Lepisosteus oculatus: one gene and its partners. The protein of the gene in region 2 purifies or fractionates together with the protein of the main gene of each other region. This does not show direct contact. Links are inferred from orthologs where the notes say so. Each region holds a gene or a part of one and is shown on either strand. Other genes may lie near its edges.

Region 1 (7,989 bases), on a different chromosome or scaffold from region 2:
GGAGCTTTTGATAAGACCAGGCCTCCGGTGAGTGTCGGAAACGTATTTCATTATTATTATTATTAATATTATTATTATTATGATGATGATGATTATTTAATTATCTGGCAGGTGGCAGCGGGAGCTACAGGCCTGGCACAGCGGGCTCTGGACGAAGCGACGAAATACGCTTTGGAGAGGAAGACCTTCGGCAGGCTCATCGCCGAAGTAAGTGCGCCCGTGGGGGAGTGGAGGGGGAGCGGCTGGGCGTGTCCGTTTAGGAGGGGAACGAGTCGTTTTGTCCTTGTGTGTCCCGTCAGCACCAGGCCATCTCCTTCCTGCTGGCGGAGATGGCCATGAAGGTGGAGCTGGCCAGGATGGCCTACCAGAGGTCCGCCTGGGAGGTGGACGAAGGCCGCAGAAATACCTACTACGCCTCCATCGCCAAGGCGTTCGCCGGAGACATCGCGAACCAAGTCGCCAGCGACGCGGTTCAGATCTTCGGAGGCAACGGGTTCAACAGTGAATATCCTGTGGAGAAGCTGATGAGAGATGCCAAGATCTACCAGGTACATCTCTGGAATGCACCCAATAAAATATTTATTATTGTTTGTTTTTTTTTGCTTTTATTATTATTTCAGTGGTGTTGAACAGCGAAAGCAAAAACTTTTTTTTTAACATAAAGCAATTTATTTGTAATATCCCGCATTAAAGTTTCCAATTGCTGGCAGTAGGCATGCATGGAAACATGCACCACTGCTCTTATTTTACAGTATATCAGTGATCTAGGTTCTGGTACAGTTAGCAAAGCACTTATTCTTTCAGATGGTATCAAAAGGGAAGTTTAGCAAACGGTAAAGTACAGCGTATAAAATTAAATAAAATTCAAGTCTGGTCTAACAAATTCCTGGCAGATGACCTTTTAAGATAAGTGCAGGGTTTACCTGCAGGTAGCAACACTAAATACAAACTGGGAAACACTGAGTAAGATGTTTATGTTGACACATTTACATCTTCTAGACAACGTGGGGAAGCTTTTGAAAAAGGGAACAAAGTGAATTAAAAGCAAAGGTTTTACGGATGTTATGATGAAAGTATAACCCCCCTGTAGGCCTCATTTACCATAATGTTTCCAATTTCAGTCACCATGTTATAGAAAAGATATTGCTGCTCTGGATTCAGTCCAGCAAAGATCAACCAGATGCATTCAGGACCTCAGGGAATGTCCTGCACTGACAGACTGAGGAACTGAACCTTCTTAGTTCAGTTCTACTAGAAAATGTCACATGTGGACCTGATACAAGTATTCAAAATCCTCAGAGACCCTGGCAGAGTCAAGCCAGTGGACATTTACGGAGTGAACAGCGAATCGTGAACCAGAGGCGTTCTGTGGAAATGCATTTAAAACTGATAACAGGAGACACTCCTTTACCCAAAGGGCTGTGAGATGATTGAACACGATACCCAGCCATGTTGCTGATGTCTAATACCCTGACTTCTTTCCAGAAACTGCTGGATGAGATCTGTGGCTACTAACAGCCAAACAATCTAGATGGGTCAAATGCCTCCTCTCCTTTTTACCCACCTTTCTAATGTTCATGGGATTAAAATGTGTGGTGTCATTGATGTATATACATTCGTTTTTCAGATTGTTTTTTTTAATAAAAAATGTTGGCTCACTGATTGTGAGAGATTTTAATCAACATTATTTTCTTTTTCAGATCTATGAAGGTACAGCTCAGGTCCAGAGGATGATCATTGCTCGTGAACACATTGGAAAATACAAACAGTGATTGCACTTTTTTCCTGTAACAGTCTTCCCTTTGTTATAATTTTATGTCCTGTATGTAGAGTATCAACGACTATCAATGCAAGTACGTTCTTTGCCTTCCATATTTTAAATAAATTGGTGCCTATGACACAATACGTGAGCCTTAGAAAATGGTAACCTGAAGCCTTTAAAAGCCTTTATATACTGTTATCAAAGATAAGAGCTGCATTTGGGAACTAATTTTTGCAAAGCTGAAATAAAAAGGATGTTATATATTAAAGTTTTCTGGTTGGGTTTTTTTTACAATGTTTTTATGTATCTTTAATGGGGAAGCACACATCTGGATTGTCCTGGGTGTGTTTGTTTGCCTTTGGGTAGATACTGTACCAATTCTACAGGATATTGCTGATGCTCAGAGGAATGTTCCTACTAACACGAAGGAAATAGTTTCAATTCCACCACTGTTAGTTGTGTAAATTAACGCTAAATTGTACAAATCTAGTGTAGCATGTTTTGTTTGCTAAGTGAGCAAGTTTGAGTTCATGGCATTTGTTTGCTCTGTAGAAAATAGACTTCTTAGGTTGAATTTTGCCACAAAGGAGACTGATTTTGTCACGTCTCAGATCCTGAGCAAGGATGGATCTGGTCAGTACTGGGCTGAGAGAAGCCTGGAAAAAATTTCCTGCTGTAAGCCAGTGGTGTTAAACTCAGCTCAAAGTCTTTCATGGCTGAGTGCTGAAATGCAGCTCAGTAGAAGCACAGTTACCTATAAAACACCATCAAGCCCGGTTAGAATTATTAACAGTTATATAGTCGATCGACAGCTGTGTAACTGAGAGCTCAATGAGTGATAATGATGTTTTATTTATTCAAGAACAAGCTGTACAAATGCACATATAATACAGATACCAGAAGAAAAGGTAAAGAGGAAAAGAACAACAAACTGATTCAGTTTTAAATTTCATGCTGAAAGCTGTAGTGAACAGACAGGTCTGCAAGAGAGGTCTAGAAAAGTCAGCAGCTGAAGAGTAATGCATTTGGGCAGCACGTCCTCCACGATGACTCTGTTGCCCTTTGCTTACAGCTTGGTCTTCAGCAGACATACTGTAGACACCCCGAATCATCAGATCTATTGAGATTACGTCTCCACATTGGCTAGTCCGGCCTTCCCTTGTTTGTAAGGTATATTCTAAAGAGTAATAGTTTGCTCATTTAACCAACACTTAAAAGATATTTCAGTGCCCTATATATGAGCATGAGAACCTTTTTGTTCACACTAAATTCCACATATAGACAATGCAATTTATGTGGTACAGGATTTAGGTGCTGATGCAGAATACTTTTAGTTGTTGCAGAGATGTTGGGATCATATGAGCCTAAACTCAGTCTTGACACAGTCAAGCCCAGAATAGTTCTGTTGCACCCATATCTGAACATCATAGAGACACCTGTGAAGTGCAGAAAGCACAGTGGTATTTGATTTGGTCTCCTGGTAGATCTGAATGTTATCAGAAAATCATTAATTACCTTAACAAAGGCTGTTTTAGTACTTTGTCTCTCTGCAAACCCCAAGCCAAAAGGCACAACGAGCACATGAGGAACTTCTAATTGAACTACAACTGCCCTTTCAGAATTTTTCTGAGAAAAATGCCAACTGGGAAAAGCAGTTTGTACTGTGATCGCGCTTAACAGTAGACACACACGTGGGAAGTTTCGATTTGAGTTTAATGTGTAGATATGTGGCGACAGATAAGTTGGTATCTAAAGGCGTTTTACAGAGCCAAGATGGCGGATGCAAATAAGCAGTTTCCAAATACTGTATTTGACGATTAAATTGCTTCAGACTGTGCTGTCACACATGTGAACTGTGAAACTCAGTAGTAGTCGTAATTTCTGTATTCATTAATCTTTTTATAGAGCGAGGATTTCTTTAAACAGAAAACTTATATAATTACCACCCTCCTCCGGCGAAGATTTGGGCAGGCTTTGTTTTATGACGTAGTTATTGTGGGACGCGATTCAGGGACATCACCCAAGAATGGTAGGTGCTGTTCATCGGTCTACATATTTTGTTTTCTTATATGTATATGTGTATATTTCAAGGATGAAACAGAGGCATTTGTCATATGAAATAATAATGTCTACCTACCGTTCTGTACACGTTTTAAGCACACTGCAAATAGAAGTGACATGTCCCAGAGCAAAAAGCTGTTAGACCGTGAATAGAAATGAATTTAAATCCTGCAATTTTATAAAGGTTTAAATGCCTGACAGCTAATCGCGAATGTGAGCCGTTTCTTAACCTGGTAACGCTTTGACTGCATTAAAAAATAGAATAACATCTGTCATTTAACAGAAGCTAATGTGCTTGTCCGCAAACATATCCCTGTCGGAATTTAATGGCATCTGGAGTGATGCGTAACTAGACGTTGAATCTTTTCCCTTTGTCATACAGGACGTTTGGTGTATTTCGATGTTCCGCATTATTGGTCGTAAGACATCGTTTTAGGAGATTAAAAACTCGTACGTTAAGTATGTTTTTAGAGGAGTGGTTTAGGGATACGTAATGGATAATTTAAGCGGTGAGCATCGGGAATTGTGCTACAACAAAAACCGTTTTCTGACAGTTGGTCCGTCTAACAATCTGAACAAAAAAAACATGTTGAAAAGTTAGAGCAACACCAGTCAGTATTCGGCTTAGCCAGTGGACATTTTCATATGTGTTCATATAAACGTGTACGTGCTGCAGAAAAGGCTGTCTTTTTCTGTGGGTTTTTTTCCGATACCATTGCGAATTTATCGCAGTTGTAAATAATACTTATTTTGATGCTCAGTGCAGTGTCTTGGGGGGGCATGTCACTTTGTCCGTCTGTCTAATTCCACATGTAACTGTTTGTTTTTGGACAGTTTTAGTGTTGATGAACAATACCTTGTGACCTTAAACCGCTTCAGTCTGATTTCTCAGTGGAATTAATCGAGTAACGCGTTAAATCAGTGCATTCAGTTCCATCCCACGTAATATCCCCATCCTGTAAAAGACGGTTAAGGATTTAAGTGGCACTTGTCATGGGGTGTTCCAAACACATGATCAAACATGTCAAAAACCGCATGTAAGGGTGTGTTTGTTTCCAGTACTTGTAGGTTGTCTAAAAAAAAAGTTATAAAAATATGAAGAGATGTGTCATTTCATTGTAACTATTTAATTTAAAGATTAGGAGCTGATTGCTCACAAGAACAAAACGATGTATCATCTGTGTTGTGCCAATATTTTTGTTTCTCTAGGAAATGACTGTGCACAAACTTGTTGTGTTCCTAATCAGGTCAGTCAGTGTGTATCTATAGTCATTCACAGAAATGTACATTTTTCTTGTATAAAAATGCAATAACCCCCCATCACCTCAGTAGTTATTTATGTATCATTAAGGTAAGCCATTGCAATTTTAAATCCTAAATAATTGTAATATGTTTATTGACTCATTTTATCCTTCAGTGTCCCTCAAATATAGTTCATTTGAAGGAAATAAAAATTAAGAAATTAAAAATGATTTTTTTTTCACTAAATAAGGAGAATTGTGTAGTATTTAAGTCCAGAAGGTTTTCTTCTTATAAAAGAGAAACTGTAAAGTCCACACACATAGTTCCTTGTAAAGTAAGCTTATCTGATTTCTGTAGTAAATTAATACTTGCTTTACATGTAATAATTACAATACAATAAAAATAATGACATGTTCCTAAAAAATGCACATTACTGTATATTGTTTTAAAAATCGCTCTTTGTTTGAAAATGTCTGTGGGTTCCCTTTACTAATCCTCTGCGTTATTCCAGGGCACTCAAGTTAAAGATGTCGTTATAAAGCCTGATGCTCCAAGTGTGCTTCTGTTGGACAAACATGCAGACTATATCGCAGCTTATGGTACCAAGAAGGACGACTATGTATGTATCTGCACAAGTGACAAAGGGCACACTTTCTTTTACTCTTTCCTTCATGATCCAGTAATTAGATCTGTACTTTAAAACACAGAAGCATTTAAGCGAGTAGCATTTTCAGGTGCTGCTTTAACAGCAGGAATGAATCTAGCTCTTCATGATTTAAGAGGCAGTGGTTTATTACAGCAAATCATCAGAAGCTGAAATTGCGTTTTTGTTTTTGAAAGAGTGTATCGTCTTTTAAAGAAGGGCAAAAAGTTTAGAAACCCTCTAAAACAGCCATACCTCTCTGAAACCCTTCCAGTGTTTTCTCAGTCTTGGTGAGTCCAACCCAAACGGCGGCTAAGCTTGTGATTTAGTGAGTGAAACTGACTTCTTTTTCCGTAAATCCGTATGTTTGTCCTTCCAGAAATGAGAACAGATGATAACGCTTTTTACTCTCACTGGTCATCCGCAAAAGTGGATACCTAGGAGGTGGCATTTATTAAAGACCTCCTGGTCGCTTTTTCAGTGTTGATTTTTGTGTTGTTGTTTCGGATCTCTCCCGTCTCCACCAGGAGTACACCCTGTCGGAATACCTGCGCATGAGCGGCATCTACTGGGGTCTGACGGTAATGGATCTGATGGGGCAGCTGCATCGGATGAACGAGGACGAGATTATAGAATTTGTCAAGCAGTGCCAGCATGAGAGTGGAGGAATCAGTGCCAGTATAGGACATGACCCTCACCTGCTCTATACTCTCAGTGCTGTTCAGGTACAACTCTTAAAGAGGTTGTTGTTTTTTTTCCCCTCTAGGTTTAACCAACCGATTCGAGATTCATTTTGATAAGTGCATTTGGTGACCAACTTGCTGTGTGCCTAACAATTTCTTTTTAAAAAAGCTTAGATGAAATCTGTTTTCTACCTTGAAGCATGATAGTGCCCATCTCTTTCTCTCTTTAATATGAAAAATTAAAAGACCAAATGGTGTGATTCTCATTGCTGCTTTGTGTCTAGAAAAAACAGTTCCTGGCATAAACCTGGTGTAGACAGGCTGTTGAAATAGTGTCAGTCTTCCAGTCAAACACGTTTAATCTCTTCACCTGTTTTCTATGAGAGGTTAATTTAACCTAATATTTTAAATTTATCTTGTGAGTTTTTAAGTCTTACACTCAAAGAAAGAGATATTCCCCTTTTATTTCAAAATAGCTAATTGTCGCATTTGCGTATCTTGGATTTCTGTGTTCACCGTTTTTCTGGTGTTTTTCAGATTCTCTCTCTGTATGATAGTCTCTCTGTGATCGATGTGGATAAAGTGGTTGAATACGTGAAAGGGTTACAACAGGAGGATGGATCTTTTGCTGGGGACAAATGGGGTGAGTGGATTGTTTTAGGTGTCATTTATTTGAATGTGTGCTGCTAGTCGATAGTCCAAGTGTTTCTTAAAATGTTTTATACTTCAGCACATTAAAGCAGTGGAATTATTTGTATGCTGAACTACCTGTTTCCCTCTGCTGACAGCAAAAAAGTCCTCTTCTCTAGCACTAGCAGACTTGTGAGAAATGTTTATTTGTATAAAAGTCAGATGAAAAAGCCTATATATGCTAAGTTATCCCTTCCTGTAATTATCCAATTTAAATCTTCATTATTAATGCATTATATATGTCTAGTGTTTGTTACCCTCTCGTTTTACTCAGCTTGTGACATTTGTCATTCATCTCAGACAGCGGTGTCCAGTCCTGGTCCTGGAGGGCTAGTGTGCCTGTAGGTTTCTAGTCCAGCTCAGATCCTGAAGAGCCGACACAGCTGGTTACTGGCTTAACCAGGACTTTAGCAGCTTCTCCGAGGTCTTCGGGCCCGGCTTTTTAAACCCGCAGGTGCACCAGCCCTTCGGGATCAGGACAGCCCCGATCAGAGCTGTCTCTCGTAACATTGCAATGAGAGCCTGTGTGATTTCGATGGTTCCTGTTAAGAACATCGAGTCTCTAGTTACATTTGTGTCCTTGTTTTGTTCTAGGTGAGATAGATACGAGGTTTTCCTTCTGTGCAGTGGCAACCCTGGCTTTGCTGGTAAGAGCATCTTTACAAACTTCATAGTGTCTGTTTATGAGACGATGGTGTTTGTTAGCTCTAATTCTGCCATTTTTTACTCTGTGCCTCTGGCTTAGCGTTCAGTGCGAATGACTGGTCTTTCAGGGCAAGCTGGACACCATTAACGTAGACAAGGCAGTGGAGTTTGTCCTTTTCTGCATGAATTTCGATGGAGGATTTGGCTGTAGACCGGGCTCAGAATCTCATGCAGGGCAGGTAGGTTTTTAGAAAAACCTTTGT
Region 2 (7,930 bases):
ATACAGTTAGCATTTTTTGTCTCAATTTGCAAACTGATATGTGCTACGTTTTCTACTAGGTCGTTAAAACCATGTCCAGACTAATACCCACATGGCCCTGAGTGTTTGGCTTGTGTAGATGTTTTCATGTGGGGGCGATGATAAGATAGGGCTTCTGAGTCAATGTTTGGCTTCCTCCTCTTTCCCTTGAAGTCTAAAGTCTTGTCTTGGCTGGAAGGTGTCAGGAGAACCCAATGGCTGTAGCTCCAGTGTACTCTTGGTAGTGTCTTCAGTGGCGAAGGGGGGGACAACAGGGCTCGAAGAGATTGCAGGTTCTGTCCTGGACGCAGAGGCCGGAGGTCGAGATTGTGCAACAGCGAAATGACCCCGATCGAGACCGAGAGTGGCCTGAGAGAGGGATGACGGCGTGTGCCTTAATTATCCTTGGATCACTTGGAACTGGATCACAGAAACATGCACACGCACGCAATGATGACCGAATGTAAAACCGCTGCAGGTGGGCATTGCCATGGGGTGATGGGATAAAGTGAACTGCAGTTAGATTGTTCCCAGGCGTGATGTCCAGGCACAATGCACACTCCGGTGCTGTCCCCCCGCAGCTTCGCGGCACGTTACCGAAATCCTCGCGCTTGGCTCGTGTCATGGCGGCCGGTAGAAAAGCGAAGTCTCGATGAGAGGGCCGACAGCAGTCTGTGTCGTGCGTGAAGCAACCCCGGCTCCCGCTGGGATCGGAGCGCGCTTGCTCCCCTCTCTGAGCAGCGGGCAATGACTTCACACCGCAGGACCGAGCCTCCGCGCGGGCGAGTCTCCGGAGGGGGTGAAGTCATTTCCGCGGCTCTGCTCCCGCGGGAACCCTGTGACGTCAGCACACGCGCTTCGGCAGCTGAGGTAAAGTAGTTTGGTTTTTTTTAGAGGAAGGTGAAGCTAGATCAGGCAGGTTTTCTGCACTTTTCAAGGGGGAACGCCATCGCTTTTATCCTTTCGTTGTCATGTCCAGTGTTGCCGGGAACTCCAGTATTAGGTTTCGAGCTTTATTTTCGTTTATTTGTGGTCCATTAAAGAGATGGTAATCGCTTAAAAAAAGTGAAAAATCTCTACGTCGACGCCTTTTAGGTTGCTGGTGAATAACGCTTAAATGGATTGCCTATACTTAATTTAAGGACCCTTTGCTACAGCGTAGTTTACAGTGCATTGAGGAATATCTGGGTTGTGAGATGTCTAGTCATGCGTTCGAAGCCAAGATCCTCTCAAGAAAGAGCTGCTCGAGGGTCTCGGATCAGTTAGCTACTGAAAACCAAATAGGCTGTTTGAACCGCAGGCCCCTCTCGTCCGCCATCCCTCTGACTTCATATCTAGTGCCATTGAGATGTAAGATGGAAACTAGGCTATTAAATACACTTCCCCGTACTATAGAACGTTTTTAGCGAATGTCTGTTGAGTTTTCCTTCTTCCTTGCAAATGTATTCTTTTGCTGATTATGACAGGGGACAATGTGATGGTCGCGACCATCTTTTTACATGAAAGTGAAGAATGTGAGAGGAAGCTTGGAGAGAAGAACAACAGCCCTCTGCATTGCTTCGGGACTGACGGGAGTGCTTCCCAAAATGATTCAGTTACACCCCATCTTTTCATCTGTAGACTCTGGTTTCCAAGCGTTTATAGTCAATAGATTGTAGGTGGTGGGGGAAGAAACAAACAGATTCCCACGTTCTTATAAGGACAATCCGTGAGCGGTAAAGTGGATTTTGAACAGTGAAGCGAGCCTTATGATTTAAAAAAAAAAGTACAGCCCTCCAAACATCGGGAAAACTTCACAAAAACTCTTTTTTTTAAGGAACGCGACCAATCTAAACTAACGGGGCGTGCATTCTAATGGATCGGAGTCAAGCAAGTGTATAATACTGTCAAAACTAATCCGTGGTGGCCGAGTCACAAGACTCAGCTCTATACGTGTTCCAAAAATACGGCTCTAACTCTTTTTGTATTTACTTTAACTTCTAAAGCCTGTTAGCTTGATTTAAAAGAAATACATGCTTGTCCGACAGTATTTCCCTTCCAGTATTTCCGAATTGCACTCCCTCGCACTGTTGTATACTTTGCAGTTAACGAAAAAGGCTTGTAAATGATCATTATTGTGACATTCCTAGACAATGCAAGGCATGTTCTTGTTATTTATGCTGGTTTTTATTTTTATTTTTGTTTTTCCTTTATTTTGTGTACTCCAAGAATGACATGCTGTACAACTTACTCATACCCATTTCTTAGCAGGTGTCATGAAGAAGGATGCATGGTATTGTGTGTTTTTGTCACTTCCCCCTCTGGAAGTATGTAAATGTTACAAAGCAAATTTAAGCAGGTATTTAGTGCTCATATAATGAAAGACTACTTTAGAAAATACAGCTAAGAAAAAGTGCCTTATTTAGATTCCTAAGGGATATTGTATTTTTTTCTTTTGGATTAGAAAATTGGCCCATTGCATTACCATTTGCACAAAACAAGACATTGTAAAACTATGTTTCTTCTTGTATAATGACAACAATTCTACAACTGGATATCTAAATCAAAAAGTCTGTATTTGCTAAAAGGATATGTGACTGCCTCTACATTTTTCAAATGAGTAATCAGTGCACCTTGGTGCTGATTTTGAAGGATTGCTTTTATGTAAGTTCTGTTTTCTGTCTAATGTACTATGTAGCAAACTATAGGATATTTGTTTTTTCTTTGAAATTGTCTATTACATGCACTGTCTGTAATAGGAAGTGGGTATAAAATGCACTCCTGTTTTTCTTGTGATTTTAAAAGATTTTTTTCTTTTGAAACTAAAACTACAGTACTTGATTGTATTGATACCACATCAATAAAGAGTATCTTGTATATGTGTTTTGTCTCCTTATTACTTATATTATTATTTTCATTAGTGTGGTGTAGTATTATAATAGGGTAACTAGTCAGAATTGCAATAGTACAATTTAAGAGACTTAACTCACTGGTTTTGCCTGGAAAAAATGATTGAATCACCAAATGTTCCCCTCACATAAAATATCCTTCCAGACTGCCTTCAAACCTAGAAATGATAAATAAACATATGATCCTACAGGAGAGTGCCAAAATATTTGTAGATCTCTGAAAATATCCCACAGGGAACATCCTGCAGGACTTTTTCAGGAAAAATAATGGAATCCCGAAGAAGCCTTTTGGGATATGATAGAGATTTTACCCCCAGAATATAAAAGATTCTAGAGGCATTCTGCAGGACATGTTTGAATCATGCAGAATTTGCATGCAGGGACTAAATCATATCTTTAAAAAAATGACTGACTGAGGCATGCGAAAAAAGAATGGGATTTTACTGTATATCCATCTTATTTGAATTTCAGTGCACATTGTAGAAGACTACAATACTCATGAAAACCGACTGCGGTTAAATCACGCTGCACAGGACTGTTTGAGCTCTGGGTACAAGTGTATACATACTGTACAAGTGTATCACTTCAGAGTCATGCACAGTATTTCCCAACGATCGGCTCCCGTACACGGGGTGTATTTGTCATGAGAAATGATGCAATGATTTGGGGACGAACAAGATTCCAACACAGATGTGCCTTGCAAGTGATGTCCTGTGAAAGGTTTATTCTATTGGATCCAGAACAGTGGGTTTCATTTTTTTCGCTTGTTATAACTTATTTTCCCCCAGTGGGTGGCAGTATCATAAGCTCTTGGGACACAAGAGTGTCCTAGAAAAGATGTTGTGTAGTGGGCAAATAGCCCTGGCGCCTCACAGCCCCCCAGTCCTGGGTTGAAGTCGAGATGGGTGGAGTTTGCATGTTCTTCCTAGGAGAACATCTAGCTCCCACCCCCCACCCCCCCATGTGAGTTTTCTCTGGCTTCTCCCATTTCCCCCCACAAACCAGAGACATGTTGTCTGGAGTAGCTGACATGTCTACAATGTCTTAATATCTACTTGTTAAGATCCATGCTTGCATTTCAGCATTGCAAATAATATCACCAGATATCACCAAAACCTAACATACGAAATCAAACAGAGCCTGGCCAAACCATTACCAAGAGGCTTTCAACAAATTAGATTAAAATAATTGTTTTCCTTTCTCATTCTCATCTAAAAAGATTGGAAAGGGTTCCAAATAAATACTGTGTGCATTCTTGTTGGGAACTTAAAACAATAAGGGGGCTTATTTTGATGTTATTGTGGGAATACACAAAGTTTCCATTGAAATGAATCCAAACTCTTTTACTTTCACTCGAAGCCGAGTAAAACTCCATTATTTCAAACCATCAGCTTTATTTCACATGAGGGACAACCTAATTATAATAACTAGTTTATTGATCTTGATGCAAACGTTTTACCATATATACACTGCATTATTAGCGCAGTGTAAGTTGCACAGGTAAGTGAAAATAGGGTGCGCGGTGCACTTGCACAGAGTGACACATCGGTGCTATTGTCCTCAGTCACCTGATGAAGAAGAAATGTAAGCGGTCTCTGTCGTTCATTCTGACACACCCATGACTCATCAGCTGAAGGCGCTTCACGATAAAACAAGGCAACAGGGAGACCAACAGAGACAGCTGCCTGCAATAAACTGCAAACTGCAATAAACCTGATTAAAAGCCTCTGTATCCAAGCGAGTTTTAAGGGCGGGAGTTTTAAAAGCGCAGCAATAAAATTTTTCTTTTCCAACACCGAGCGTGCTGCAGTAAGGTGACACGCCCCTTTTTTTTCCCCCGCGTGGTTGTGATTTTTATGTTTGATGTTCTACGTCGCTTTTGTTTGTTTGTTTGTTTTCTTTTTCTTTCTTTCCTTCTTTGGACGCGAGGTCCCGCCTCGCGCTGGGGCCACCCAGGCCGCCGGCGCCGCCCCGTCGCTTTAACGTGTGTAGTACGTCACCGGCGCGGCGGGTGACGTGGAGCGCAGCCCCTCCCCGCCGGGGGGAGGGAACGAGCGAGCGCGAGAGGGAGGGAAGCAGGCAGGCTGGCTGGGTCGCTCGCGGCGCTCGGAGCAGACGACGACAACAACAGCGGCGGCAGCAGCAGCCAACGGTCACGGCAGTAAAACGTCCACTTTTCTCCGGGGGTTGTCACGGGATTTCAATGAGCAGCCTGCCCTTTGTAAGTCCGAGTCCCCGCTTTTCCTCCCGCCTCTTCCCTGGCTCCGGGGTGGCCCGTGTGTGCGCCGGGGAAAGTGAGGCGAGGCGGCAGCCATTAGGAGTGAGCGTCGGTATAATCCGCTGCCGCTCGCCGGTCTCATCTTTCGGCTCTAATTGCTTGTTGTTTTTTTTTTTTTTAAATAATTCCGGTCTGTGGCTTGCACTGCCGGCGAAGGTGTTTTCCGTTTCCTTCGATCCTCTGCTCGTGTGTCGTGGTGGGTCCGGGCGAGGCTTTTTAATTCCGAAGGGGACAAAAAAGATGATATATAGACATACGTGTGTCTGATCCGAAAACGGCCTCACGACGTGTAGCTCCCTTTGTTGGGACTTCATAGTTCCAGCGATACGTGTGTGTGTGTATAGATATATTTTAGATGAAGTTGTACGTGTTTCGTGGGCGTTAGGGTTACTACTAGTTTGCTTGTTCGCAACTTCCTGATGTCTGTTTAAAGAAGAGTCTGTTTCCATGTGGAGGTTGCAAAGAAAAAAAAAACCTCAACGAAACTCCTTGAAGTAGTCTGAAAAATAATTATCCCATCGTGGCGAAAAACAAAAATAGCGTCCGTGGAGGAGGGGGACGAGTGCGAGTTTGTCGGGGTTCATTGGGAGGGGAGAACAAAGCCGTTTAAAAGGCTTTTTTTAAATTGGAAAAACGCGACGCGATGTGCTTGCTGGGTTAAAGGGATTTAAAAAAACCCGTGCGAGGCTTGAAGCCTGAGCTGTGCATATACATGGACTTGAGTCTGGGGAGGGAGAGAGACGGCCGACATCTTCTGAGTTGTGTGTGTGTGTATATATATAGTCTTGGCTTGCAAAGAAATCGGTTCTTTCGGAAGAGCATTGCATTGCAAGAGCCTTACAACGGGCTTGCACACATGCATGTATATTTACACGCCGTGTGTATGTATGGCTGTAGTTGTGTGCGCGAAATTGGCTGTCTGCTGTCGGGGGGGAGGGAGGGTAGGTCGTGAAACAGCTGTCACTGAAATGCGTCATCACCACGTTGAAACTCCGCTGCGAGCAGGCAGGACCAGCATCTCGCCTGCTGACGCGAGTCCGGCCTTTTTCTTTGGGTTTCGTAAGTCATTTGCAGAACAAGGAGCGGTGTGTAACTTGAAACTGAGGCGCAGAGCCTGGGCTGGCTGGCTGGGTCTGGATCTCCGCGCACTAATCGTCAGCACAGTAATCACAATAACAGGAATTGATGATGATGATGATGACCGCCGGGCGTCGTCTCCTGCCCCGGCTCTAGGTCACTTGCCCTTGTGCGGGAATCCACGCCACGGTCAGCGGTGTCCCGGCCTGGGGCCCGCTCGTGCAGATTCACGGGCTGCCACGGCCCTGCTGAGTGGACGAAGGTGTTGTTTTATTTAATTGTTGTTTAAAAGGGGGAGTTATCTGTGCGCCCTTGATGACGGAGGGGGCAGATCTCTGAAGGTTTCGCTTTCATTGTTCACGCGGCTCTCAGCTGGGGCGGCCAGCCCACTCCGCGAGTGGCGTGGGGGGCTCTCCGGATATTTGCATGCAGCTGTCGGCGTTGCGGTTCGGGACGTGGAGGGTGGTTGTTACCGGCGCCCCCCCCAGAAGGTCACTTGCTGTGAATCAGCATGCAGCCCCACCCCACACCCCTCGCTGGCTGGCTGGCCGGGTTGGTCGGTCGTCGCCGTGGTCAAGCCCGGCCAAGTGGCGTTTTGCGGTGTACATGCGGAGTGTCTCTGACCTGTCACCTGTCCGCAGCTCTCCGGCAGGGCGCCTCATTGAGACTGGCTGTGCTCCCCCACTCTCTCCTTTTAAATGTGTTTTTCGCAGGTGAAATTGTATGATTTTTTTAACATTGCTAAATGGACATCTTTTTTTAATCAAATCTTTAATTTACACTCCACTTCGGAAGTCCAGTGGGCCCTCTTTCTGTCTGGTGTTGTAAAGAGGCAGGGCTGGGGTAGGTTGCTGTTGTGTGATGTCCGGTGGAGGGGGCTACTTCTGTTGTTACTCCAGTGTGGAGGCCCTTGATGCCCATGCTTGCTCTTAGCTGGCTTGGTATTGGTGTTACTGTCGTGATCCTGACTGTCCTCTAAAGGTTGTTCTGAGGTACAGACGCAAACCCGGTGGTTGGCTACATCTGGGCCTGACTAAAACCGGTCCAAGGGGCTCCCCGCCGGCTGGGGCCGGGTCCGACTCTCTCCGGTTGCTGCGGTTCTGCTGTCGCACTTGTGTTCTCTGTGCACCAAATGTGCAGCTGCCTCAGCGCCTCCAGTCTGCATGTTTGAGCTACAGAAGTGCCTGGTTGTGCCCACGTGTTTCATGTGGTGCGTCTGTCTTTTGGAGTCTCCCAGCCCCTTCTCCTCCCTCACACTCTCCACCTGGCTCCTGGCTGGCTTCTCTCTCTCTCTCACAGAAGGGCTGGACATCTGACAATTAAAATATTTGAGATGTGTGACATGAAACCCCCCCCCAATGTCATATCCTTCTGCAATTTATTCTGGATAAATCGATCGAAACCCGTGTTGCTCGTTCAGGTCGTGGGAGTGGCCTGTAAGCCATCCTGCGTTTAATTTCGTCGTGTTTTACAGAGTGTCGGAGTGATGTTATAAGCCAGCTTCCTCCCCCACCCCCTCATCTTTTGTGTGCATAGTGTTCATGTGAGAGTGGGGTCAGTGTGCTGCTGTCTGTGGCTGGTGTTGTCATCCCCAGGGGGCTGCTGAAAGCCTCCAGCCTCGCTGCTGCTTCCCTGTAATGAAATGCTGCTTCTCAAAGATGTTTATTAA
Region 3 (7,605 bases), on a different chromosome or scaffold from region 2:
ACACACTGAAACTCCTAACCTCAAAGGCTACAGCTCTGTCAGCTTTATAACCTTAAAACTGGGAGCAGTTTAAAACCTGGGTGAAGCACTAGAGATGAAAGAGTCTTGCTGAGTAAATAACGAGCTCGGTTCATCAGGGGATCAGGGGATCATCAGACCCTCAGTGAGTCTGCACACCCCAGCCTTCATGTCACTTCGGACAGGACAGATGGTGCAAAAAAAAGGAGTTTGGATACCACAGCAGGAAGAGGAGAGGCAGAACTGTAGCTGTTAAGCCCTGAAACAAAGCATGGGTTTCATTCCCCTTGAGAGCTTTTTCTTTTTGTTAGCCTTGAAGGAATATGGCAATTAACTCTCTCTCCAATTCTCACATGCACATTTCTGTCTTGAAATTCTTTGCTAAACAGTAAATGTTTGTTTAAAAGAAGCCCCACAGGGAGCTGGGAACATAGGCGGTTGTGAAAACACAAAGCATCAAAACGACACATGGAGAAATGTTCACCAACATCCCAGCCCCTCAGCAGCCTGAATGGAAAAACACTCCAGCAGACGCCTAGTCAGAGGCGCCCTGGTGTGTCCTTACTGGTGCTGCCTCTTTAAGGGCCTGATGGCGGCCTCCCGACAAAGCATTGGAATTGCTGTACCACACTGCTGCATAATCTGCAAACCTGTCTCCTCTCCAAAGGTTTCAGTGCACAGGGTGAGCGAGGGGACACCGGCACGTCCGCGGGAGACACACAGCACAGAGGCAGCCTGTAACTTCAGCCGTGCAACCACACACGCCTTCGCAGAGCAACAGCCACAGCAGTCTCCCCAACACCACTGATGTAAGAAGGGCAGAGAGCCAGGCATACAGATATTTGCAGAGGCTGGCAGACAAGATCAGATACATGGACAGACACAAAGAGGGACGTATCCTGTAAGGACAACTTGGATGGTCTAACTTAGCTGCACAACTCTTCACTCACACAATAACACTCGAGCCTGAAATGATTTCTCAATCCGTCAGCCCCGAGTGTTTGTCCTGTCAGAAATACAAGTGGTAAGCGGGCGGAGGAGGGATTAGAAATGAGAACGCACAGATCATTTTGCTTCGTGAAACAACCCAACACAGGATGCCTGCAGAGCCGGTCGGACACACAGACCTAAAAACACAAATGTTTAAACTCGAAAGCATGAAACTATATTCATCACTTCTGAGGACGTTTTAGATTTGTGAGGTCATGAACGCACAAAGAGCAACAGTAAATCCTGAGTATGGAGCCCTGCACATCATTATATACCAGAAGAGAGGTGTCAATGACTCCTGGGAGGAGAAAACCAAGGCTAACAAACCTTATACCCTCTTTTTCCCCACAGTGCTAATTTAAAAAAGACAGAGGCGCTGTTCATACCTTTTAATGAACGCCATCTTTACAACAACATGAAAAAGAGGTGGGCAAACCAGACTGACAAATGAGACCAGTCTGGAACTGCAAAACACACTGCGGCTTCCAGCCTTAGGCTTTTCAGCAGCAGAAGCTCTCCAGTGCTCTTCTTTGACACCGCGCCAGTCCCATGCGCTCGACAAGCTTCTGTTGCTATGACGACGGGCCCTACCTTTCTTGAACTCCTCCAGCATGGCGTCCAGCTTGGTGTCGTGGAAGACGAAGTGGACCGGGTGGTTGTAGAACTTGGTGATGGTCTTCAGCGTGGTGCAGTCGTCTGGGTCCACGAAGGCCAGGTCCTTGACGTACAGGATGTCCACGATGTTGGAGCGCTCGTCCTCGAACACCGGGATGCGGGTGTAGCCGCTCTCCATGATCTCGGACATGGTGTTGAAGTCCAGCACGGCGTCGCTGTGGATCATGAAGCAGTTGCTCAGGGGGGTCATGACGTCCTCCACGGTTTTGGTCCGCAGCTCCAGCGCCCCCTGGATCATGTTGAGCTCCTCTTTCACCAGGTCGTTGTAGGGCTCCGTCACCTTGAGCATCCCCACCAGCTTCTCCCGGTTGTAGACGGTGCCGATCTCCTGGCCCAGCACGCAGTCCAGCAGCTTGCTGATGGGGTAGGACATGGGCAAGGTGAGCAGCATGAAGAACTTGGTCAGCACGATGGTGTTGGCCCCCACGGCCAGGCCGTGGCGAGAGCACAGCGCCTGGGGCATGATCTCCCCGAAGATGACGATGCCGATGGTGGAGGCCACCACCGCAGCCAGGCCAGATCCAATCAGGTCGTCCAGCAGGATGGTCAAGGTCGTGTTGACGAGCACGTTGCCCAGCAGGAGCGAGCACAGAAGGTAGTTGCCCTTCCTGCGGATGGGCTCGATCTTGCGGGCGTACTTCTTCTCCTTTTCCGTACCGCAGCTCTGCACGATGCGGAGCTCCATGGGATCTAAAGCCATCAGCCCCAGGTTCAGTCCGCTGAACATGCCGGACAGTAACAGCAGCAGGGCGATCAATATGATCTGCAGCCAGAGCGGGAGCAGCGACGACTTCTCCTCCACCACCTTCAGCTTGCCATCGTTCTCCCCGAACAGGTCCCACTCGCCTTCCGGGCTGCGTTTCACGCACAAGCTGTACTCCTTGGACTCTTCGCTCTTGCGGAGCGTCTTGATGGCTAATTTGAGCACCCCGGAGGTGCCCTGGCTGCTGACGTTCATGAAATTATTGATCGCGATGTCTTTGGTGAAATCGGCGCAAGTCCTGTTAAAAGAGTGGCTAAAGGCATTGTTTTCGCCCTCTCCCACTCCGTCTCCGTGTTCCGTAAACCTGATCTGTGACCAGGTGCCCGAGTTTAGCTGCAGCCCGTAAAACCTGAGCTGGACCTCACTGCCCTCTGTTACCTGGATGATTCCCTCGTTGGTGGTCGTGGCCGACTTGTTGCTCCACACCAGCCGCATGCCCAAGATCTGGCTGTTACTGACCTCTGCGGTTGCTGCCTCCATTCGTCCAGCTGTTGAGCTCCATAGAAAAACGATCAAAGTTAGAATATACCCCTGCCCACTCCAGTCTGTCGCCATGTTTGTTTCACTCTCCGCAAGCTGGGAGCTGACGTCACCTACTCATTTCTTAAAACCCGCCTCTTCATTATCCTAACCCCGCCTTCTATACCGCCCACATATGACGTTAGGGCCGCCTTCTAAATCATCACTTTCTTTTTAAGGAAGAGCAGTGCACTTGTTAAGATGGAAGGAAATATTTTTATTTAATTGGAGTCGTTATTGTTCATAGTATATCCTGAAAGCAATTCCTTTAACTATCCTTTAAGACTGTTTTAACTGACATAGATGCACATACCGATGGCATAACTGACGTATATGTGATATTTAGCAATTCAACTTTTCAAGTGTTCCAGTAAGAGTAAGAGTCTTTTAATTAATAATAAGAAATTTAGGAAATTATACTATTTTTTTCACTGTAATTATAAAATACAAATATATCGTTTACTACTTCAGACGGAATAAGTATGCACTCCATATATAGTTTATATATTAGCTACAGAACATCGAATCTTAATGAGGTTCACCATTTTGACAGTGATGTTAAAATAATATCCTCATAAAAATAAAAAAGGCGTTTTAACTTTTTTTTTCAGTGATTATATCCGATTGAACCGCAGTGCTACTGAACTTGCTGGTAAACATTACATCATCATGTCCGGGTGGCCCCTGATTGGGTGATAATGACATCACGCAGCCTCAGCCTCCACACTTTTAAAGAATGAAATCCAGCAAAGCTAAATGAAGGGTGCTGTGGGGGTGGGGGTACCGGAAGAATGACTTGTAATCCAAACATTTTTACTACAAATGAGGATGAAATCATGCGTTTATTTACTTTATTACAATAATTATAATGAATACCGTCAATCTCTCAAGAGCTAAAAAATAAAAACTCTTTAATTCATTCTTAAAACAAACGTTGTGATGAAATGGACTGTAAACTGAACAAAAATGCTTTTTTATTGAACAGCTCAGAATAATTCTCAGTACACAGAATTATTCCCGACACAATTATTTTAGCACTTATCATGACTTTTCCAAGTAGATTAGGAGAACCTCTTAATCCCACCTGCTGTACATGCGAATGTGGAAGTTTTGATTGGAATTGACTAAGCCCGCAAAAAAATCCTCTTAACATAATATAGTTAAAATACTGAGGACTATCATAAATCGTTAACATAGTGTTTTCCTGCCGATGCCACCTCGATATCAAAGGGGATTTGTAGATTGATATATGTGCATAAATGACCGATAAAGGCCAATAAAATAGAATACTAGAGTAACAAACAACTTATACAAACACTATCAGAGCAAAGCAAAGATTACTCGTAAACTATAATTATAGCAAACAATAGAAGAGCACAAGTACAGGGTTGTAGGATTTTTTGGGATTATGAATAAGCGTTAAATTGTAGTGGGAAGGTTTTGGAGAAGCGTGTTATTGGCTGTATTGTGAGTGAAAGAGCGCACGGGGAGGACCGAGAAAGAAACAACAGCCAATATAAGGTAAAGGGCAAAATGATGAGAACAGATCACGTTCCCTGTCGGCGACGCCAGAGGCGGGAAACAAAACTAAAAAGCCTAACTGCGGCCTTACAGTATATGCCATGTGACAGAGCTCAAAACTGCTCAGCGCTCCACAGCCTCTCAGTTAGCGGTTTCCAGGAAATGAGTCTTCTGTCTGAATAGGGCTTTGTGGCTAGGCTGTGATCGGGCGTTATAAACACTATGTCATATTTAGCGCACATGATTTCATTCTCCTATGTTTCAGGTCTGCGTTCAGACATTCGTGAGCCACATGAGTCAGCCTCAAGATGCATTAGATTTCGAAATGAATTCCCGGGCTTGCTTGAGTTCAGTCGCTGTTACAATTTTGGCTTCGTAAACCGTTTTAAAAACACACTTTCGACGGCCTTTCATATGCAAAGTTTGGAAAATCATCAGACTGCGGATTCTTTGACCCTTTGCTCTCAAAAAACAAATATCAAACATCAAACTATTAATTATAAGATGAAAATGTAGAAGCTTAAATAATTTCATTGCAATTGTTCCATCAAATCCCTTGCTAAATATGAACGTCAGGCTTCCAAGCGAAATATTAGTCTTCAGAAAAAGAAATTGCTGCTCTTTGAGAGGAAGCAAGGCGTCACACCCAGGTCCTGCCCCGCGACAAACCAGTCCCTGCTCGGGTGAGCGTACCGGGCTTCTTGGAAAACTGCTTTTAAGGTTTTAAGGTTTCCACCTCAAAAGTCCAGGATGAGATCAGTAAGGAAGAAACATCCAAAAGCACATCCGCTGTGCTTGCGGTTCTGGAAAATAATTCCGTTCGACTATATGCACTTTAAGTATCATAGGAAACCTCGTTATTTAATAATACGTTTCGGGTAGATAATAAAAACATAAACATAGCAAAACTTTTAAGCATATGTAGCTACAGTTCATTAAAAAATCGTTCCTATTCTCGGTTTTGATTTCTTGTGCTATCCGACATACTTCTACGAAATGTGATTTTGTCTTTTTGAAACTTGAAAGAAACAAGTAACGCTCAAGTAGAAGGTATATGGCCTGTGGCTAAGAAAAACTTTTTTAAGTGTTCAGATTGGTTTTTTAACGTTACACTATTAGACAAACATTTTCAACATCTTACTATTCACCCTCCTAACGGAATCAGTTACCAAGGCAACTGCTTCCGGGAGTGGGCGGGATGTTTGGAGTCTCTTTAATTGATAATAACTTTTACCAATAGAATCCCAAAAGTCTCACAAGTGGGCGGGTATTAGCCCCTGAACCAATCATATTTCGCTTCCAACGAACTGTCATTATTCATCGGGGGCGGGGCACAGGTAGAGTTAGACTCGTGAATGGCAGTTCAGTGCAGCGAATAGTTGATGACAACACATCCTACCAGCCACTGAGAGGCGAGGTAGGTGGGGAAAGGCGTGTCATGGAGGGAGGGGGAGGAGCAAAATGGCCGCTGCCATGAACGGGAAGGTTCTAGCTGGGGCTCGCAAGGGAATTTTTTATTTCATTTCTTTTCACAATATGATCAAAAAGATCCCGTTCGCAGTTGTCTTCATCCTGCTCACGGCAAGCCCGTGCTGGGGTGACGAAGGACACGAGGTGGAAGAGTTCCTGAAAAGGGAGCATTCGCTGATCAAGCCGTACCAAGGTAAGATCCATTACGGTACAGATGAACGGGGAGGGTGAGAGCGGATCGATCATAGCGGGAGAGAGAAAAGACTCTCCCTGCAAATCAAATGACAGCGCTGAAATCTCCAGCTGCCTTCGCTTTCTGACACTGGCTTGGCGGATCGGATCGACTCGACGTGAAGTGCACTAAAATATCCGCCAACACAGTCACGTTATCTTCAGTAGCTAGTGTTTTCGACAGGCTTGTCAAACCATGGCAACGCTAAATATCCGTAAGCGTTACAATATGAAGTCAACCCGAGCACTGACAACACGCGTTTAAAACAGCGTGGCTTTATTGATGCATGCACCTGACTCCTAGCCTCCTAGCCCTGCACGTCGTGACTCGCCTGGCTTGGATTGCGTAATGCAAGAAGTAGAGGCGACCTGACCAGACCAGTGCTGTTGTGTTGCGAAATCTGACGCGAGGTAGTCATCCAGTCACAGCCATTTCAGGAATTATGTTCTGGGGGAACACAGGTGAACGATGTAGGCGAGAGAGCGAGTAAGGAGGAGGCCTTGCCATAATCTCACATGAAAGTTGCCGCCGGTACACAGGTCAGCCCGACCTGACAAGGCGGTTCAGCAAGTTGAATTGAGCAACCGCGATGCAGGCTGCTTTGGTTTCTGGAGTGTGTAACCCTAACCCTGATCACACGAGTACGTGATTTTGGTTCCTTTGCCTTGGCGGAGAAACCGAATGGAAGTGTTTTTTTCCTGGTCTGATTCTGTGTTTTGCAGTATGCATAACCGTGTTTTTAAACCAGCCTGCAAGTTCTGTTCACAATTAAAACTGTAAAAAAGGTAGAAGTGTAAACCACTTTAATTCATCCCTAAATAATATTATGGAGCAATTTTTATGTTGGTTAACCGATACAGTATGAGATCTTACGCAGGTATATAGCTAAATGAATTGGCTTCATTACTCTGGCGCACTTTGGCTGCTGTTGCATCATGGTAGTGGTCGGGGGAGTCCCCATTACCTGTAAAGCGCTAAATAAGTGTAAGGAAAACAGTCACACCATAGCAAAACGTTCAAAGTAATATAGCTCCCCCTAGTGGTTGGAATACGAACCGGTGTTTTCGCTTCAAAGTGCTTTCAATTTGCCTTCAATGTGTCACCTGAAAAAGGTTCCACAGCCAGAAACATTGTGTATCTTTTCTTTACCTTTCAGCACGCAATGAACCCTTACCCGTTCCTTACATTTACAATGGGAAGGAAATTACGAATCCCCTCATGTTGATCGCAGTGCCCCATAATCCCAAGAATAACAATAAGTTCCCCGTTCAAATAAATCTTGTTTGTCAGTATCAAACTGTCTTGTCAGATGTAATGTACCGTCAAGTACTAGAAAAAGAAAGGAATCAGTTGTCCGGCCACACTGACCTCTCAAATCCACAGACCTTAAACATTTTAATGGCTGCTCAGTCAGTCA
Region 4 (7,118 bases), on a different chromosome or scaffold from region 2:
CTAACAAGCATTAACCAAACAAAACATTTGCCCTTTCTGCAAATCACTGACATCGGAATAATATTATTTCATTTGTTTTACAGGTAAAAACAAGTTGGATGGATAGCTCATACTAGACAATATTTCATTGAAACGCCCACGTGTAACGTGTGTATCGTGTTTTAGAATACAATAGGCGTTTGGAGCTTCATCGGGAGAATGAAAGAAAATATAACAACTACGTTTGATCTCAAAAATGCTATTTTGAAATCAGTAGCGGTTAGAATCAGTGCAGTTGATTTTTATTAACGGGTTTTTTTTCCCCAGTGCCACCTGCGCAATAAAATAAACCGTTCAGGCGGCCATCAAGTTGCAAAACGCCGTAGAAAAATTAGATAAGGCCTGCGAAATTTCAATCTAACTGGGCGACATTTAGATAGATAAGACTTTATTGATCCCGTAGGGAAACTGATGAATATATACATATGTTTTATGCGATTTGGATCCACGACGATCCCATCGTCCGCGTGATTGCGATTTGTGCATATCGGGTCGTGGCGGTAGCGTACAGGTAATAAGTGTTTGGATCAATTCGCCTTTGAACACAGTAGATGCGATGGGTACACCTCGGACTCAAACAGCAATCTGATGAGCCCGTGAATCGCTGAGCAGGCAGCACTGGTACCCTCTGGCAGCTCAGCCCCCACAGTGCCTGCGCCCGGTCCTCTCAGCCAGCGTGTGGGGCACTGCACCGCTGCAGCACCTGGCGACCTGCAACCCGCCACACGTACTTTCCACAAGCCACAAGAGCGGATGAAGACAAAAACAAACAAACAAACAAACCCCCGACGGGAATGGGCATAATTTATTCACCCTCCCGACAGGACTGCGAGTGGCAGGATGCAAGATGCACTGTTGTTTGTTTACCGCATGAAAATGCGCAGCGCTTTGCCATCTGAACACCGGGGAAGCAAGAAGTGCAAAAACAGCAAAACCTCATACAGAATCCTGGTTGATATACAGTAGATCGCGATAAGTGTCTGATGTTCCAAATCGGGAACCAACCTTTTTCCAGAAACCGAACTACTTTCGGAAATACTTGTGAAAACACCTTATAGACAGCCGCATCATCAGACCGCATTTATTCCCCATGGTAATCAGGGAAATAACTGTACATTGACATGTCCTATGCCAATCTCACGCTCAGTTATGACAAAGACTCGGCGCACTTTATCAGAGCACTCATCACTAGAAGTGTTACAACTCAACCCTTGCCAAGGTGAAACATTAAAATGCAATAAATATCTGAAGGAGGTAAACAAAGTGAGTGAAAAAAAATACTGCCCCACCTTTCTTGAATTCCTCCAGCATGGCATCCAGTTTGGTGTCATTGAAAACAAAATGCAAGGGATGGCTATAGAACTTGGTGATGGTTTTCAATGGTGTGCTGTCGTCCGGGTCGACAAAGGCCAAGTCCTTAACGAACAGAAGGTCCACAATGTTAGATCTCTCCCCTTCGTAGACGGGGATCCGAGTGTACCCACTCTCCATGATCTCAGACATGGTGTTGAAGTCGAGGATGGCGTCGGCGGTGATCATGAAGCAGTCGCGCAGGGGAGTCATGACATCTTCCACGGTCTTAGTCCTGAGCTCCAGGGCGCCCTGGATGATGTTGAGCTCCTCTTTGACCAGGTCATTGTAGGGATCTGTGACCCTCAGCATCTCCAGGAGCTTCTCCCTGTTGTACACCGTGCCAATCTCCTGCCCCAAGACGCAGTCCAAGAGTTTGCTCACGGGGTACGACGCAGGAAAAGTGAGCAGCATGAAAAATTTGGTCAGAAAGATGGTGTTCGCACCTACAGCCAGACCGTGCCGGGAGCAGATCGCCTGGGGCACAATTTCGCCAAAGATCACGATCCCGATGGTGGACACCACCACAGCTATCAACCCCGAGCCTGCGATGTCATCCAACAGAATGGTCAGGGTGGTGTTCACAAGCACGTTCCCCAGGAGCAGCGAGCAGAGCAGGTAGTTCCCTTGACTCCGGACCGGCTCGATTTTCTTGGCGTAGTTCTTCTCCTTCTCCGTGCCGCAGTTCTGGACGATGCGTAGTTCCATGGGGTCCAGCGCCATCAGTCCCAGGTTCAGCCCACTGAACATGCCCGAGAGACAGAGCAGCAGCGAGATGAAAATGACCTGCAGCCAAAAGGGCAGCAAGAACTTCCTCTCCTCCACCACTATCACTTTCGTGTCCTCTCCGTCATGGTAGATCCAGGTGGTCTCAGTCCATGGGTCGTGCACGCCAGACACAGCAGGTGTTGGCATGGCAATGCACAAGTAGTAGGCTTTGCTCTTCTCCGTTTTCCGCAGAGGCTTAATTTCAATTTCCACTATGCCAGAAGTCTTTCTATTTAAGACAATATTGGGCAAAATTATAATATCCGAAGTCCTAATGCCACAGGGATGATAGCTTGAGGTATCCTCTTTGCTCTTATTATCCCTAGTGGTGCTGTCAATGTTGCCAACGACTTTGCTCCGCTCATGCTCTGTAAAGGCGATTTTGGACCACGTCTCGTTGTTAATGTTTTGCCCATAGACTCTCAGCTTGACCCGGGTCCTTTCGCTGACCCGCAGGGACCCCCCGTCCATAAAGGAAACGTCGTCTGTGTCTTCTAGTCTGAGCCCAATGATAACCGTCTCTTCTGCCCCTTCCTCGCCGCTGGACAAGCTCACCAAACAGCCGCTGACTGTAAAGAATACCAGAGCCAGAACTCGGACCCGGCTGAGCGCCGCCATCTTTAAAGTGGGCACTGTGGCCGAGCGCTCTGCCATCTTGATTGTGGGCAACCGCTTTTAAAAGAAGAGGGCTTTTAAAAATCACAGCCAATCGGAGTCCGCCTTCATCTCCTCTGCGGGTTTCCTTGACTCATGCATCAGACCTGTCTGCTCCCACCACGCGTCTCCAGCTCCTCTGACCAACAACACAGCGGAGCAAGCACAGTATGAACTCGTGTTCCTCGTGATGCCCAAAGACGGGCGGCCCCCGCACCCAATCAACTACCGATTTTATAAGGAGGCGGGGTGTTTTCCGAGGCAAAAGCCAATAAGAAAAGAAAACAAACATATGGGGGCGGAGTTACTGCCCAGGGCCGTCCTCGTGACTTATTTTGACGGAGGGTTGAAGGCAGCAAATAAGGTGTAGGAGGGGGTAGGTCTGATGAAGGGGAGGGGATCTCGGCAACCAATGAAGGTGTTGTTCCTGCCCACTTCCTGAAACATCCGTCAATGAGACAGGCGTGAGACTGCAGGTGGATAACAGGTGCAATTATGATAAATAAGGGCTTTAGAGCCGTTTTAAATTGAGAGTAGTTTTACTGTGACTTTTCACAATAATGAAGCTTCATGCTAGTTCTTTCTGCAAAGATGTGTGATGACCTAATACATAACTTCAATGAAATCCCCTTGAAAGCTAGGAAGAAAAAAGGCCATCAGTAACGACGTGTGTGTTTTTGCTGTTAAGCATCTCACCGTCTACGTTAAGAGCAGTTGGTTGTGTTTTGTTTTATTCATGTGTTTAATGTTCGCATAAATCTGTACCTGTTCTTTCTTCCAGTTTCATAAGGGAATAGTAAACTGACGTAATCCCTTCGTTTTTCCTTTCGGCAGTCGGTAAACATAACACATATTGTACATCTTTCGGTCACCTTGACATCCAAAATACCTAAACTGCTGTAATTCTGAGAGTAATGTAGGTGAATGGTAATATTACTACCGGTAACACACCGACTACCGGACGTCACGTAGCATACCAAACGCCGATTACATAAAACGTTTCTAAGTAAAAAAAGAAAAGAAATCAACATCTTGATAAGTAGTAGTGGTTGTCTAAACAAAATGTTCAAACCTACGCTTTAGACGTTAAGGATCCTAGTATCTTGGGTTCAGCTACAGCTTTAAAGAAGGTGCGGAATATTACTTTGTAATCTTTGTAGATATTAAACACAGGTGCCTTTATCTTTGTATTTTATTGATTAGTTAATCATCAAACAATTTAATAACAATGCACTAATTCAAACGTCCGTGAGCAACACTCATAAAAACAAAACATCAACCGCCTGGGATAATCCAGGCATCTGTATTTTAATAACACATTGAACTGTCTGAGGTTTAGGCTATCTTTCAAAGCAAATTCTAAAATAAAACATGAAAAAACGAGTTAATGCTATAGTTAGAAGTGTTATAAAAAAAGCGCTGCACGAGTGTACACGCATAAAACACCACGTCAGTAAACAATCACTCAGTAAATTGACCAAATAATACCAAAAGTAAAATCATACATGAAAAGTTTAGTAAAAAAAAGCAACGGATACATAGTCTCCGATTTTTGGCAGTGAGTTTTAAAATCGTGGTGCTCTGGCTTTCATCGTGTGAGCCTGGCCGCAAGTAAAAAAAGGAAGACCTGAATCAGCACATCTCAGATCAAGTGTTGGACTATACTCAAGCAATAAAAGTCCTAAAGTAACCTTGAGCGAGACCGTTCAGTGCCTTATATGTAAGCAACAGAACATTAAAATCCAGTATAAATAGCACAACAAATTCCTTTTTATAAACATATCAGCGAACACTGAAATAGATCAGATTAGATATCTTAAATCTTCCTCTGAGAAGCGAAACTTCCCCAAACGTGTGAAGGGGACGCTGGCGGAGACCCAGGGGCGTGGCCTCCGAACTGCGGCGCTGAGGGGGCGTGTCAAAGATAACACGGGGCGTGGCGATGGCATGAGCAGCACGTGTAGCAACAAATTCCTCACCACTCTGACCCGAAGCAGCCCCGAGTTGTGCCATTTCAAAGGGTTTTATGGAATCAATCACCCTCAAACCGTTTTGTAGTTTGTCTATAAACGTTTTTTTTTAAATAGCGCAGGTATTTGTAAGTTTTAACATGTCCTGCAGCTTTATTTTAGAGTCCTCTTCGCACATGTTCTCAATGTGCGTGATTCTATTTCTGCAGAGGCCAAAAGAATAATCAAGCAATTAAAAATAGCTTATACGTCTACATTTAAAGTAATTTAAATTAAAATATATATATTAGAATCAATATTTTTACCAAAAAATTCTTTTTGAGATTCCTCCCGCAAAAAACGAAGAACTCATCAAATCACTAGTAAAGGAAAAAGAGAAACAGAGGAAAACTGCATCAAGAAGTGAGTTTATTTTTAAACAGGATAAAATATATACCTTTGAAGGGATGTCCTGCGGCCATAACTTAGGAGGAGGTAATCCAGTACACTGAGGGAAAAAGTTGCTTGAAGTTAAAAGAGTGTATGAAGAAAACTGGTTAGTACAAAAATCTCTAATATCTTTGTAAACCTGGATGTCCATCCATCCATTTTCTAACTGATGTAGCCATTATAGTGTTTGGGGACAGCTGGAGCTGAAGCCTATTCTGTCCAGCAACAGTTTTTGAACTGGGAGACGAAACTGGAGCACCTAGAGGAAACTACACAAACCAGGAGACAACACACAAACTCCACGCAGACAGCACCCTAGGTATTGAGCCAGGGCCCAAGCTCCCACTACCTTTTGTATAACAGACAACATGCTTCCATCCGCTCTGCAGTCTAGAACATTCCACTGCTCTGTTGAAAAAAGAAAGTCCAGAAACGGATCTTTTCTCAATGGTTTGACAAACAGGTTTTAATGGCAAATTGTCGTGTGCCATTTTCGCCCTCTTGTGACAAATGGTAGTACTGCATAGACACTCTGGCCTATATTTAGAAAAGGCATTAATTATTGAATACTGTATTATAATTAACGTAAAAATTAAGTCTTTAAGGGGGGTTCAGTTTCTCTCGGTTGTCATAGAAGGGCTGGGGTTTCTGAAGTACAGACTGAACATCACTGAACACGCAGAGCGGATGGAAGCATTGGCGTGGTGGCTCTGTGGCTGAGGATCTGCGCCTGTGGCTGAAAGGTTGCCGGTTCAAATCCTGCAGCCGGCAGAGGAATCCTACTCTGTTGGGCCCCTGAGCAAGGCACTTAACCCCAAGTGCTCCAGGAGTGCCATATAAATGGCTGACCCTGTGCTCTGACCCCAAGCTTCTGTCCCCGACTGTGTGTTTCATGGAGAGGAAGATGGGGTATGCCAAAAAAAAGACAAATTAATAATACAAGAAATTGTATATGGCCAATAAAGTGATCTTATCTATCAGTGACAAAAGCAAACTTGCTCACCACATTACAGAAAAACAATGAAAGTGAAAGTGTTGGAAAAATCATGAACCAATAAAATGTGAAATGCATAAAAAGGATGTTTTAAGCCAAAAATAACCAAAACACACATATAGCAGAGTATTGTTTATTGCCTTGTTCAGTTCAGCCTTTTGCACAGAGGATTAATGCAATCTTATAATTATAGAAAATTATTCTGTTTGTTCATTCGAAGGAAAGGATCACATTAAGAGGCACCCTTAGTGAAATATACATTGTATATTAAATGGATACAAGTGATCACTAAATATAAAATTAAACATAAGCAGGAAACAACATCTCTGAAGAAAGATATTTTTAGTTGGCACCAAAACAGCAAACTTTCCTAACTTATACGCAAGGTAATGTGTATTATGTATACCCACCCTGCTCTCTGTGGGTTTTTATAATTTAGTCCCCAGTATACAAGGCTACACATGCAAACTTTTTTCAAATGAGCACTTTCCCCTTATGACAATTCAAGTCCTTGACTACACAGACAGAAAACATTTACCATTACCAGAATGAAACTGAAGTAAAAATTAAAAACCACAGAAGTAAAAAACATAAAACAATCTATTTTCTGGAACTTGCTTTGCTGGGGCAAATCTGATTTAAAAAAACAACAACTTTTTTTTCTTTACTGAACATGAACCTAAGGTCATGCAATTAAGGTGTGCATGCTGTGTTACAATTATCTTCAACTGGTGACACTTAGCCAAGCCGACATCTTTTTCACAAACTTGGTTGCTTAGAGAATCATATTTCAGACTGAAGTGTAACAATTTACATTTCGGTGGCAAAAGATTGAAAATGCAGCACAATACATGATCTTAGTCCTTGTCAAAAACAACATTCTAAATTCTAGATGTTTACAATCACAAGTCACA

The links.
Region 1: the proteins of ptp4a2b (region 2) and rabggtb purify together in Homo sapiens (affinity purification with mass spectrometry; 3 studies listed by BioGRID and IntAct, counting the BioPlex papers as one, with this or other methods). This does not show direct contact. The link is inferred for Lepisosteus oculatus from reciprocal best matches to the Homo sapiens genes PTP4A2 and RABGGTB.
Region 3: the proteins of ptp4a2b (region 2) and metal transporter CNNM4 purify together in Homo sapiens (affinity purification with mass spectrometry; 6 studies listed by BioGRID and IntAct, counting the BioPlex papers as one, with this or other methods). This does not show direct contact. The link is inferred for Lepisosteus oculatus from reciprocal best matches to the Homo sapiens genes PTP4A2 and CNNM4.
Region 4: the proteins of ptp4a2b (region 2) and cnnm2b purify together in Homo sapiens (affinity purification with mass spectrometry; 4 studies listed by BioGRID and IntAct, counting the BioPlex papers as one, with this or other methods). This does not show direct contact. The link is inferred for Lepisosteus oculatus from reciprocal best matches to the Homo sapiens genes PTP4A2 and CNNM2.

Annotation. Positions count from the first base shown.
Region 1 is NC_090704.1:4,133,996-4,141,984, reverse strand, and holds the start of rabggtb (geranylgeranyl transferase type-2 subunit beta), read left to right. Parts: upstream 1-4,977; 5' UTR 4,978-4,992; coding exon 4,993-5,070; intron 5,071-5,576; coding exon 5,577-5,684; intron 5,685-6,235; coding exon 6,236-6,433; intron 6,434-6,928; coding exon 6,929-7,034; intron 7,035-7,675; coding exon 7,676-7,728; intron 7,729-7,854; coding exon 7,855-7,965; intron 7,966-7,989. Other genes in the region: acadm (medium-chain specific acyl-CoA dehydrogenase, mitochondrial), read left to right, coding at 1-27, 112-207, 300-548, 1,701-1,772. UniProt on the Homo sapiens protein: Catalyzes the transfer of a geranylgeranyl moiety from geranylgeranyl diphosphate to both cysteines of Rab proteins with the C-terminal sequence -XXCC, -XCXC and -CCXX, such as RAB1A, RAB3A, RAB5A and RAB7A.
Region 2 is NC_090706.1:1,404,793-1,412,722, reverse strand, and holds the start of ptp4a2b (protein tyrosine phosphatase type IVA 2), read left to right. Parts: upstream 1-4,927; 5' UTR 4,928-5,127; intron 5,128-7,930.
Region 3 is NC_090697.1:69,731,506-69,739,110, reverse strand, and holds the start of metal transporter CNNM4, read right to left. Parts: upstream 3,020-7,605; 5' UTR 3,002-3,019; coding exon 1,600-3,001; intron 1-1,599. Other genes in the region: lman2la (lectin, mannose-binding 2-like a), read left to right, coding at 5,948-6,149. UniProt on the Homo sapiens protein: Probable metal transporter. The interaction with the metal ion chaperone COX11 suggests that it may play a role in sensory neuron functions. May play a role in biomineralization and retinal function.
Region 4 is NC_090699.1:36,010,212-36,017,329, reverse strand, and holds the start of cnnm2b (metal transporter CNNM2), read right to left. Parts: upstream 3,005-7,118; 5' UTR 2,812-3,004; coding exon 1,329-2,811; intron 1-1,328.